Caenorhabditis elegans: one gene and its partner. The protein of the gene in region 1 purifies or fractionates together with the protein of each later gene. This does not show direct contact. Each region holds a gene or a part of one and is shown on either strand. Other genes may lie near its edges. The genes, in order: ppm-1.H and ugt-61.

Region 1 (7,035 bases):
TCAAAGACATCGTGTGAAAAAAAAGAAAGAACTTATATTCATGTCGCGTCATTTTAAATTTGTGGGAGTTTCCGGAAGTGATATTTGATTTGAGTTGATATCTTAACTCGATTATAGCCGGATTAAAAAATATTCTAAAAATATGAATACCAAGTACGCTCACGGAATTCGGTCATTGGAATAGTTTTATGGCCTATTATTGATCAGAGTGAGACAATTTCCGTAGGAAGTTGATAATTTGCGACAGAAAGTTGAGAAGAAAAATTGGCTCTGATAGTAAAGCTACACGAAAATGTGATATGTATGAATTTCAAAAAACATGTTTTTTTCTTTTCAATGTTTGAAATTTGATTAATGATCAGCTAATTCATGTTTCTTTTTTTAGGGCTTCCATATTTTTTTTAATCTTAAACTGTTAAAACCTTTAATTTACTAGAGATAGTTTCAAAATATAGTTTAATATTTTTTAGACAAAAAATAGTCGTATTTATTACTACAATTATGGCTCCTGACTCAGAACATTTCTGAGTTTTCTATCTTATTAGCCTCTGCAATCAACAAAATTGAACAGAAAAAAATGAAATACTGAAAAACAAATTTCTCTCATTTCCATAGAATACATCAAAATCAACAAAAGCTCAAAAGTATGGGAGTTGAATTGAAATTTTTATTTTACTGCGGTTTTTCGAAAAAAATAAAGTTTTTTTTCCACATGGGAAACCAAATTGAGACTGATATCAAGCACACTCTGTTGAATCTAAAATTATATGTTTCGTGTGTTGCTTACAGAAAAGATTCATATATGTTCTAGACACTAATTTCCTTCGGTAGTTATGTGCGAATACATATTATTAGTCTGATGTTAGAAAAATTAAAAATACTTGTATAAAAACTTGGCAAAAAAAATTGGAAAAAAAACATTTTTCATAAATTTTGTGGAAGATTGGAATGACTAAAAACACATGTTAACAATTCGAGAAAAACAATAAAAATATTGAAAAAATTTTATGCAAATACCAAAAGAAGCTGTAGGGGCGGATTCGTATTTGGTAATTTTCTTTCTAAAATGAACCGAAAAAAGTTAATTTCAGAAAGTTTCAGTCTAATGATAACTAAAAACCAACAAAGTGGAACAAAAGGAGAAGCTCGTAAAAGCCAACGTCAAACATTCATATTTTTTTTCAAATTATCTTTCGATTTTTCTAATGAATATTGCTATGAGTAACACACATATTATTCCAAGAACTACAAAATAGTCAGAACACATTTTTTGATGAAAGATCTCTCATTGCCGGGAGTTGAAAACAAAAATGAAGCCTTTTGGGATTTGCAAAAGGTTTCGTAAACAATAATTAAAAGTTCGATATATGATTCATTATATGTGCAATAAATCTAATTTTGGTATCACATAGTATACAGACGCGTAGGCGTGCGGACCTTGTGCCTGCCTACCACGCAGATAGGTACGAGGCAGGCGTAGGCCTTGAACTTAAGAAAGCAGGCATTTTTTGCAAACCAGAACTGAATTCGAAAATTTTCCGAAAAAATGTTACCCAAAATTTCTAAAATACTTAGCTTCATATGTAGTTTGTTAGAAGAGATATGCCGCTGGGCACACTAAGATTTTTCCGGTTCAAGAAATCGCAGACTATACTTATGAATCGAGAAGTAAATGCTGAGTTCATTTGTTCGAGAGGAAACTGCGAATTTTTAATAAGTTACTGAAAATAAGTATGATTATTAAAAATTTCCAAGAATAAGTGAAAGAATGACGTAGAAAGGGGAAAAATAAAGAAAGACAGCAGAAAATGTGTCACATCCAGAGAAATAAATTATTATTATAAGTTTGTGAGAGGGCTCTAATTACTCAAGACTCAGCATCTCATCGTCTTCCTCATCTTCCATGTTAGTTGGTGGAGCAGCACAGTATTTTAATGGGATCACAAATACCTGAAAATTAATCATAAAGTTATTTGAAATTAGTTGAATAGATAAATTTAGGTGCCTATGCCTACCTTATGCCTACACGAGTACAAGTGGCGCGTGGTAGGTTCAGTTTATAGCAATTTTATTTCAAAAAAATTTCAAATTTGTTCGTGCACTAACTTAATACATCGTCACAATATTCTTTGCATAATTTTGAAAAGGGCCTTCTGAATTTCACATGGAAATTGTTTACAGAAATTCTAGCTTCAAATCAAAGCCTAAAACTCACTGTGATATCATCATAGCTCGCATGTCCACCGGTATTCATAACCCATCTCTTCAGATTTCCAGATGCTTGTTGCCCTCGAGCAGCTGCCACAAGATCCTGCGCCGCCTGGGTGTATCTAGAAGGATCAGCAGAATCAGTTGATCCTAATGTACTTCTGACAATCAATCCTGCATCCTCATTGCTCAGAACATCCCAAAGACCATCTGATGCCACGATTACCACGTCTTTATCGGTTAGGGTATTCATATCTCGCAGATTAGTGACGGAAATTTCGGGAACTGCTGATAGAAATGGTTTGATACTCAGTCTCTCATCAACAGTTAACAAGTGATGATCTCCGAATCCACGTGAAACTCCAATTGTATTCAAAAGTCGTTTTTTCCGAGAAGTTTCACTGATCAATGATGGTCTAAGATCACATTCTTTCACTGTTTTCACTGCCCATCCATCCATAAACCAGTCTCTGAAATGCCAAATGATTCCAATTGGCTTCACGGTATTTTCAAGAAAATACCTGTAAAGCACACGAGATTTCAAATCATGAATTGTTAATCGTTTGGAATATTCAAGTCTAGAAAACGAGTTTCCTATTAGTTCCGGGTTACGGTAGGCCAGTTCCTGTAGACGTTTCCGTTCCGAAGCTGGAGTTAGATCCTTTGATAGTGCCCGAGAACCATCAGATGTTACGAGAATGGCTCGACAGTCGCCGGCGTTTGCTGAACAACTCTGAGATTTGGAATTCGTACATTCATAAATTGTTGTTTTTCAACATAGTTTTCTTGTGTTATTAATTTTTTCTACGTTAATTGAATTTGGAAAAATTGTGATATCTAGATATCTAGATAAAGTTTCCAATATTTCAAGAAATTACGACAACCTTCAGAAAGTTCAAAAAAATTTTTGAAATCTCCACCTAAAACTTTGGAATTACTTTTCGTCTAGAATAAAGAACACATACCTATATAAAGTTTTCCTAAAAATACAAGAACGGATATAACTGCACATCCACCGGGAAGTCTCCATACTTGTTTATCCTGTGCAATTTGCTCATCCATATCCAAAAATGCAGTCTCTAGAGCTCCTTTCACCAAATGCTCACTTCGAATTCGGTTTTCGTCTTCCCGACTCATCTAAAAAAGATTACGAGAAAATGAAAACCACTGTGGGGGTTTACCTCACTCATACTGTACGATGATTCGGATCGGTGCTTCCCAAAGTTTAAATTCTCATGTCGATCCATGTGAAGAATAGTGTCGAGTACTTCACATAACCGAGACTTTACGTGCTCATGAAGGCACTTACTGGCGACAACAGCAACTGCCGAGCCAGCATGACCATCGAATAAACTGAATAGAGCTCCGTCGGCTCGTGGAGCAAACATGCTGGATTTTTCCTGGAACCGAGAAATATATTCTGATGAAACAAGAGAGAGGGGGCCAACTAATAATTGGAATTCAATTTCTACTTTATCGTACGGATTGATTTGAATAGGTTGCCGCGGGAATTGTGTTAAACATCACTTTTTGGAATTTTCACTGCCATTTTTTTGTTCGGGATTTCGTTATAGCAAACTTCTTTTCGTTACTGTAAACTTTAAAAGCTGCAAAAAATGCTTGATTGTTTTCGTGGTGAAATCAATCCGCATAAGTCTGTGCGCCTTTAAGTACGTGTTCCAGAATAGTGAGAAATTACAATATTTTTAAAGTTGGAAACATTTAAAAAAAACTATTTACAATTCACATTTACGACATTCAGATAGCTCACGGTATCATCTCCTCCAGGCGTTAACATTGGATCATCATCATTTTCATTGGAATTTCTTTTTCTCGTTTCAGATTTCTTTTCGTCGGACGAAAACCCGTTCATTTCGTTTCCCTGGTGTTGTGTCAGAACTAACATTTTTGCAGAGGCTTGATCCTCATTTTGGACAGTTTTTCCTAAATTTTATTTTTTTTCCAACAAAATTGAAGATTTTCTCAATAATACCCGCATTTATTGCTTCTGCATAACCAACATAAAGGGGCATTCGGTGTGGAAATCTGGGACAAAGAACAGGACGGACAGAATGATCAGATGATAATGCGATTTCTTCTTCAGAAAAATACAAAAATTCGGGGCGACTGTATGGATATCTTTGTTTTTCGATTAGTGCTGGAATTCGAGGCTTTCATATTGAAAAGATTGCAAAACTACGAGAATTCTTACATGGAATGAATCCACCAATAAAAACACCATCACTGACATCCATCACTCTTCCCACTTTTGGTGGATTACTAGAAGAAGCCGTTGACGGATCAGAAGTTGATGTTCGACCGACAACGGATATCACCCGTGCAGCAATATCCATCTTTAACTTTCTTAAATGAAAATATTTATACTTTTAAAATTTCCAAACGCTTTGAAATTCAGGAAATATTGAAAATCTACTAAAACTAAAATAGAAATCTCGATGAGACATTTCCGAAGAAAATGATGTTCTGTTTTAAGCCCTCTTTCCTTCGTTAGCTCTTATTGATTCGGCGTTATTCTGCTGGTTAAGCCAGAGACACTCCGTCTCTCCTCTTGTGTCGATTTACGAGCGAAATGAATGCAACGACACATGGTAAACGAGTGTTACCGTAGTCTTCGCGCCGAGGAACAGCCGTCTCACTAAATTGAGAAATTTTTCCTTTTCCTACTCTTTTTTGTTGATTTTTTAAGGTTTTGACCGATTTTATCATACAAAATACGTATTAAAAATTCAATATAATGTTCGTATTCATGTAAAATCCATAATCGATGAAAAAACGCCTATTAAATGCCCAAAAAGTGATAATTGTCGAAAAATTAGATTTTAATCGTTTTCCTATTTTAAGTGGTGTTTCAAACGAATTACAAGAACATTTTACGTGTTTAGTATTATTTCAGCCCTGCTAAATTAATTCCAGTTGAAATTCGGCGTTTTAGCATGCATATAATGATAATTTCAAATATTCTTTCTCTAATTTTCGTATCTGTATTTTTTTGTTTCGAAATAATACTTGCATATTTTTCAGGTAAAAAATGTCCCTCCGCGTTACCTACAGACGCCGTTTGTCGTACAACACCACCTCCAACAAGAAGCGTCTTGTCAAGACCCCAGGAGGACGTCTCGTTGTCCAATACATCAAGAAGAGAGGACAAATTCCAAAGTGCAGAGACACCGGAGTCAAGCTCCACGGAGTACGTTTTTACTTCTAATTATTTTTATTTCAAGTAGTTTATCACAATATAGGCACCTTAATTGTAAATTGAAATCTGAGTTTTGAACATCAACAAGAATTTTCAAATTAATTATTGTCGCTTTCAGATCACCCCAGCTCGCCCAATCGCTCTCCGCCTTCTCAAGAGAAACGAGCGTACCGTCACCAGAGCCTACGGAGGATGCCTCTCACCAAACGCCGTTAAGGAGCGCATTACCCGTGCTTTCCTCGTCGAGGAGCAGAAGATCGTCAACAAGGTCATCAAGCACCAGAAGGACTAAGCTCGTTCGTTTTGTTGTTTTCAATAAATTGTTATGAAAGAAACTAGTTTAATCGAGCAAAACATAAATATATATATCACAGGGAAATGTAAGTTAAGTTAGATTTAGTTATATAATATTAAAAATATAGTGTTACAACGAATTGCATCCACTACTAGACGAATCTATGCCAGAAATTGATTTTGAGTGCTTCTTGCAACTCGTCTTTTTCTCTCTTTTCGACTTCTGAAAAAAAAAACAAAATGTAGGTACACCAGAGTTCGAATATTACCATTATAGCATTTTTAACGACAGAACTATGCTGATGTGGTGCAATTTTTGACAGTTTACTTCCTTGCATCTTGTCAAGTGGCAGAATTACTTCTTCGAATAACGCTACCCATTGTGATTGTTTATGCAAATCTTCGTAGTCGAACTGCCGGGGACATACACCATTCTGGAATTAAATTTTGAAAAATTAGTTTAAGAGATGCATATTATACGAACCTGCGTTACGTATAGACAAAAAGGTATTTCTACAGAAGTATTCCAATCTGAACGCAGTTGATCTTTCGAAGCAAGACGCATTGTTGCTTGTGCACCTGCTTGAGAAATTAGACAGGGATGATTGTGCAGGTTGTTACTTCTGAAATCATAGTAATTAAAAACACAATAAACTCAAAAACTACATACGAAATTAGTTCATCTAATCTTATGAGTACACTTTTAATTTCTTCCATAGATAATATATTTGAAACGGCAGCATTCGAGAAAATGAACGTTGGTGGATGGACAGGAAACGAAGCAAAATGTTCTACTGCGAGAAATGGTGCCACATGTGGATAATCATCGTAACAACTGAAACTGAATACAAAGATTGCAGTTTTATAGCCTGAAAATGTTCCAACTAACCCGAACGTTTCATTAAACTTCCACAACTTTCCGCCAAAAACAAAACGCTGCATAACAAAATTTAAAAAATTTCCATTTATATTTGCCTTCTTTTTATCAACTTTAAAATGTACACTTGGAATACGTGGGGACTAGATAATATTTAATAATTTATTGCAGGTTATGAAAAAATGACAAATTCCCGTGAAAAATAGAAACAATATGTATTTATGTCTATTCACAAAATAAAATTTAGCACCAATCACAATTGTAGGAGACACCGTTTATAGGGGGCAGAATAAACACTGGTACAAACCAGACTAGAAATTTGAAGGACACTTTTGGATATTTACAGGATCTAGGAAGAATCTTTAGGAAAAACTCGACAGTTCAGCTTCGTGTCCCAATTTTCAAAAATATTTCGCTTCTCCGGCCTATCAGGCTTTTC
Region 2 (6,048 bases), on another chromosome or scaffold:
CTGAAATTGGTTGTACCAATAGACAGGTTGGACACAAATTGTTAGACCATCCTTTAATTTAGGCATTACTTGTTTTATATTCAGATCTATGACTTTCCCATTTATCAAAATATTTACCTAGAATAAAAAAAACCATTTTTTTTCAAAATTAGACTAGCTGGGCTTACTTTTCGAATTTTCAGCAGCTCTTCCAACGGAACATTGTAAAGTGAGACCTCAAAAACATGAGAACTATAATAACAATTTGGAGCCCAAGACCATGGGCAATCGGCTTCGATAGGCTCGCCGAGCATTTTTATATTTTCTTGTTTGTAATCTTCGAATCTGATTATTAAAAAGCTTCCATTGATAAGGCAGTGATTTAGGGAAAATACTCGAAGTTTTGGAGGAGACATTCTGAGAAAAAATTGAATTCAAGTTTATAGTATGTCCATGAAGATCATAATGTTTTAAGATTTTCAAAAAAAAAAGTTCTTTAAATTTAAAAAAAAAACCGATCACTATAAATTTTTTAATCAGTTTCAAAATTTCACCTGAGATCCACGTATGCATCTTTGTAAAACACTATTGGAAAAGTATTCACATTTTTGTTTTCAACTTGATAAAAATTGCAAATTAATCTTGTAAATAAAAACAAAGACGTAATCAATATAAGAAATTTAAATAGTTTTCGCAAAATGGAAATCATTTGAAATTTGAGGAGCTCAGAGAAGAGTGTTGAAAAAAGGAGCTAAAACCCAGAACAAAGGAAATAATAATAAGGGTTTTGAATATTGTATGAGTTGAAAACGTTAGTTTTAAATAGAAAGTTGATTTTTAAATGTGTATGAATTTTGAAATGTTTTTTAATAATTTTTTTTTAAATTATTGATATCAATAAGTTGAAGTTGATATATTTATTCAATAAACCCGAATATCGAAATGGCTTTTTTTTCTTCAAAATCAGACCTTCAATCAATCGTTCTTAGTTTTAGTCTCTCTTCTACGGCAACATTTTCTGAAAACTGCTTTCAGAATAAGGAAGCCAATGTAGAATACAACTAAAACTACTAGGAACAAGAAGCCGATTACATCAAGAGAATGATATTGATAAAAGTTAAGCTTCTGTCCAGCTGGCACCAGGTTGTCAAGTGTCTTGAATTCCGCAAGAAACTCTGACCATTTCAGAAGACGTTCAGCCGGCTTCATTGGTTGAGCTCGAACCATCGCGGAGAGCCGGGTTACTTTTTGTTTGTAGCTGAAAGTTAGATATTGACATTGTTGTTGAAAATAAAATTGAAAATAAATTTCGGAAAACCAACCTATCATTCTCCAAAATTTCTCTAAGAGCTTCAACGACCGTTTCCTTGGAAATTGTTCCTTTTTCAATGTTCACAGCAAATCCATGTTTCTTGGCGATTTGGGAGTTTTTGGGCTGATCGCCCATGAGAGCAATAGTGATAAGGGGGACTCCGGCGGATATTGCTTCCTGGAAGAATGAATTTTAAAATTTTTGCTGATAGTTTACAGGCATGTCTTGCAATTTCTTGATAAAAATTTAAGTGAAATTTCACAACTGAATGAAATTAGAAAAAACGTTAAACAAAAAAACAGTCAATTAGCAGAAACTTTAATATTACAGTTACAGATCACAGGGTTAACAAAATGCACATACCTGCAAAGAATTGTACCCTCCATGAGTAATAAACGCTTTTGTCTTCTCGTGCAACAGTAGATCCTTCTGTGGAAGCCACTTCGACAAATGCACATTTTCCGGCAATCTATCCTTCAGATCATCTCCTTCATATCTCATGACAAACTGGTAGTCTGGTAGAGATGCAAAAGCTTCCAAAAGCGAGTTTTTCCAAGCCAAGGGCATTTCATGGGCAGCTGCCACTGAGCCAAATGAGAAGACAATAAGCCCATTTCCAGTTTCAGAGATTTTCTTGAACTCCTGGAAAATTGAACATGCTGAGACATGTTGATTTTAAAAGTGGACTTACTCCAGTCAATGGTTTAGCACTGTCAAATCCGACACCAAGCCCTCCAATATTTATCACTTTGGCCAAAGTGGGACGTGGTAGATCGTAGAGTTCATTGCTGTTTACAATTACCTGGAAAAAGTAGTTATTTAGGTATCAGGACTGTGCGGCAACCAAGATTTTCGGCAACCGGCAATTGCCGAAGTTGCCGGACCCAAAAAAAAATCGGCAACCGGCAACATTTGGTTGCCGAAACTTCGGCAATTTTTCGGCAACCGGCAACTTGGTTGATATTTACAAAGATGAAAGTCTTTGAAGTTAAACTGTCGTCCGTGATGTTTTAGCCTAAATATATTTACGTTAACACTCCTAAAAAATTTCGATTTTTTGAAGTTTTCAGCTAAACTTTTGGCATATTGCCAAGTTTTTCAAAAATCTGAACTTTTGTTCTAACGCAACTACCAAATTTCTTATTTAACTTCAATACAAAATAGGTGCAATTATAGCAAAAAATGCTTATGGTTTGCCACTTTTTATGTTTGTTCGAGAAGCTGACCATATCACTTACCAGTGGGCATTTGGCTCCAATATCCATGGTATGAGGAAAACTCGGATCATTCAATTCCTTTCGGAAGATTGCTGTCTCCTCGTCGGATGAGATTCTGAAATTTTTAGATTTTTTTTTCAAAATCCTGGCTCAATTCATACCTTCTGTGCATAACACTCATTAGCACATGACCGATAAAACTTTTTGTTCTTTGAACAAAACCCATTTCATCATGAGATGCCATCAATACGGGCGGTACATAGCTGGGAAGAATCGGAACTCCAACTGCCTGTGATACATAATCCATTAGTGGACCACTGTTAAGCCAGACCCAAGACGGAATTTTGGCGTGATGAATTAATCCAAGTGGGCACGTAGAGTAAATATGAGTGTATGCGACATCAAATTTCTCATCTTCCAGCCATTTCAAGAATTCCTTGTTGCGAAGAATGATTCGGCATCCATCTTGAAGTAGCTTTCCCATTCGACTGAACATTGCCATCATTTGAGGCATATCCTTAAGCCCCATGTTCTTGTATAACATGGCTGATTGTTCTTTTTCGATGGATTGCTTTGTGATTCCTTCAACAGCAGCGTCGAGTTGATAGGCTGGAAGAAAGTTTTGATACAAAGCACTAACACAAAGTTTCAGTACTTTAACATGTATTACTAGCAACTTATTCCTTTTTATTGCCACAAATGTGGTCTTTTTGAGGAATTTAAAGCATTGTTGCATGCTCGTACCAATACAATAAAATAAGTCAAATATGCATTTTCACTGCTTTTTGAAACAACATAAACACTTTCCAACAATTTTTGACAAGTTTTATTATATTAGTTGATTATTTTAGCACCATATAAAAGGTTATTAATTATTCTCCGACTTGTCGTATGCCAAATATCAACTCACTTTTAACACCTTTCGGTACTTTTACGTTTGACTCAAATCCAGCCATATGGTTCACCATTAGCATAGTTACGTCATGACCTCCAATTGCAAGAACCTCGGCTACTCTAGCGTTGAATTGAATCTAAATACATTTTTTCGCTTGATAAAATCGGTTTCTACTGAATTTTGGTACTTTGAAAATTTACATTTCCGAATTAAAACAATAACTAAAAAATCAAGTGAAACTAACCTGACTGTTAGCTACATTTGGGACAAATAAAACAAATTTGTATGCTGAAACTACTCCCACTAATACCAGAAAAACCGACAATACTCTCATTGTTGGAAATAACGGAAACTGAGATCAAATAGATGTTCTTTTATACACCTGCAGTACCTGGGTAAACACAAAAATGTTGGGCAATCTGCGTCTGGAGAGAAGAGACAGCCTTTTTTAATGTTAGACAATAGAGACGCAGCAAGAGAAATAGAAAACTGTGGTCTATAGTGATTTGTGGTTTATGTGTAGAAGTAAATATGACTGGACTTTCGATCGTTGGCCAGATAACTTTAATGATGCAAGTTGTACCAAAGTTCTTTCAAGGATTTTAGATTATCATATTGGAAAGTTAGGTTTAGTTAGGTTTAAGGTTAGGTTTAAAGAGAGTGCCAAAATCTGAGACTTGGGTTTTTATACTGAAAATACGATTTTTTCCTGAAAAATTTTCAGAACGTTTTTTTACAAAATTCGGTAGATTTGGGCCATTTTGGATCTAAAAAAGTAAAGCTTGGTAATTTTGGTAAATTTTCCTTTGTAGTCCAACTAGTATATTAGATTTTTATTTATTTATTTTGTAATTCAGGTGAAACTCAACCAACATCATTAAACTTCTATCATGAAATTAAATTGACCAGAAGTTCTTGGGAACGAAGAGACGTAGTAAGCGAGACAAAGTTGTGGTGTGTGACAAACTGTACTTATTCGGTACAGATTTTTGTTCTTAAAAGGACAATTTTATTGTGATCAAATTTTGGGATCTGACCAACTGCTAAACGCTTCATTCAGTCACGTGGTACCAGGTTGTCCCATCACCGTTTGATCTACAAAAAATGCGGGAATGTTTTACTCAAAAAATATGTGACGTTAGCAGTTCTTAACCATGCAAAATCAATTAAAAACTCTGCGTCTCTTCTCCCGCATTTTTTTGTAGATCTACGTAGATCAAGCCAAAATGAGACACTCTGGCATCACGTGGTAAGTATATTAGAGCTTCTGGGCCAATCCAGAGATGCCAAAGTTTAGCAAAAGTTGAGGATAGCCCTTGATTGAGGGGCTGTACAAAATTCACACTGAAAACTGCTGAAAGTTGTCTAAAGTTGGTTGAGAAATTGTGGCAAATTGGCGCGTTTATGCACCTTTTTATTTTCCACTACAAAATTATTTTAAGAAACTAAAATATAGGCTCTTTAGAATTTGAAGCTTCATAAATTTCTTTTTTTTTCATCAAATGAACATATGAGTAAAATTTGGCACTTGATCAGTAGGACTGAGATCGTGGCAAGACCCACTCGGAATAACAACGTGTGCTTTTAGACCTGCCTGTAAACACAGTAGTTAAAAGAAAAGCCACCGACATCTCGCTGGCACAAGCTTGTGAGATGTCGGCCGCCAAAATAGATTAGTATTTATAACAACTATTTATTATCAAACTAAAATTTAGGTTAAACTACAAAAATGCCTTCAGTCGTATCGTACACCCAATCCGTCAATGGTTCCATCCACTGCTTACAGTACTCTACCGTACTCCTACACTTTCCCTCTCCAACTATTTTCGTGATACACTGATTCAAAACGTGTAGGTATGTTGAGTTGTAAGGTGGTATCGATGAGCCGAACACTTTTCGAAGTGTCTTTTGGATTCGTTTGATGTGCAGGTTTGGGTAAGAAGTGAATAGACTGTAAGGCTTCTGGACTTCCTTTGCAGGATCTGTGTAGCTATTGTGACGATAGTGAAGAAGAGATCCGTTGGCCTGAAGAGGGAAAGAATTAAGAAGAAAAAATGGGGAAAAATGAGCTACCCGAATTGTAGTTTCATTTCCAATAAATCGTCGAATCGAATGTGTAACAATAATGTCTACTGCGGAGCTGTTGAAAATTGTCTAAAAATGAAAATTTGGTATCACTGAAATTCTGAAATTTTTTAATCTTGTCGAAAAAAATCAGGATTTTTTTCAGTTGCCCTTGCAGATTTGGGCACAGAAAATTCAAAAAATACGTTGAAATTGTGTTTGAAATTTATAAAATTACCAACTAAAATACTGCCAACATTATGTGAAAGATTAAAAAAAATCATCGAAAAAACTGCAAGTTTTTGAAATATTTTTTTTGGTCAAAAAATTTCAGATTTTCAACAAAAAACGGGTTTGATAATACAAATTTTTCCGGCAAATCGGCATATAGGCAAATTGCCGGAATTGAAAATTTCCGGCAAATCGACAAACCGGCAAATTGCCGATTTGCCGAGTTTGTCGGAAAAAAGGCAATTGCCGAGCATTTCGGCAAATTGTGGTTTTGCATATTTTATTTTGGAAATTTCAGAATTCGGGAAAAAAATTCAAGAGGCACAGTTTCAAGTGCTTCCGTCTTATAA

What was found.
Region 2: the proteins of ppm-1.H (region 1) and ugt-61 fractionate together in Caenorhabditis elegans (co-fractionation; one large-scale study listed by BioGRID). This does not show direct contact.

Annotation. Positions count from the first base shown.
Region 1 is NC_003282.8:12,263,745-12,270,779, forward strand, and holds ppm-1.H (PPM-type phosphatase domain-containing protein), read right to left. Parts: upstream 4,579-7,035; 5' UTR 4,563-4,578; coding exon 4,421-4,562; intron 4,367-4,420; coding exon 4,202-4,366; intron 4,153-4,201; coding exon 3,980-4,152; intron 3,609-3,979; coding exon 3,390-3,608; intron 3,346-3,389; coding exon 3,174-3,345; intron 2,932-3,173; coding exon 2,730-2,931; intron 2,679-2,729; coding exon 2,216-2,678; intron 1,951-2,215; coding exon 1,864-1,950; 3' UTR 915-1,863; downstream 1-914. Other genes in the region: rpl-34 (Large ribosomal subunit protein eL34), read left to right, coding at 5,258-5,416, 5,544-5,717; C42C1.3 (Ovule protein), read right to left, coding at 5,850-5,942, 5,989-6,153, 6,204-6,342, 6,390-6,560, 6,609-6,661; vps-8 (Vacuolar protein sorting-associated protein 8 central domain-containing protein), read right to left, coding at 6,946-7,035.
Region 2 is NC_003283.11:4,740,209-4,746,256, reverse strand, and holds ugt-61 (UDP-glucuronosyltransferase), read right to left. Parts: upstream 3,803-6,048; 5' UTR 3,738-3,802; coding exon 3,648-3,737; intron 3,540-3,647; coding exon 3,419-3,539; intron 3,118-3,418; coding exon 2,670-3,117; intron 2,624-2,669; coding exon 2,530-2,623; intron 2,094-2,529; coding exon 1,983-2,093; intron 1,934-1,982; coding exon 1,655-1,933; intron 1,469-1,654; coding exon 1,302-1,468; intron 1,238-1,301; coding exon 955-1,237; 3' UTR 884-954; downstream 1-883. Other genes in the region: gtnt-11 (Glycosyltransferase family 92 protein), read right to left, coding at 1-117, 168-396, 534-688; gtnt-28 (Glycosyltransferase family 92 protein), read right to left, coding at 5,120-5,428, 5,477-5,557.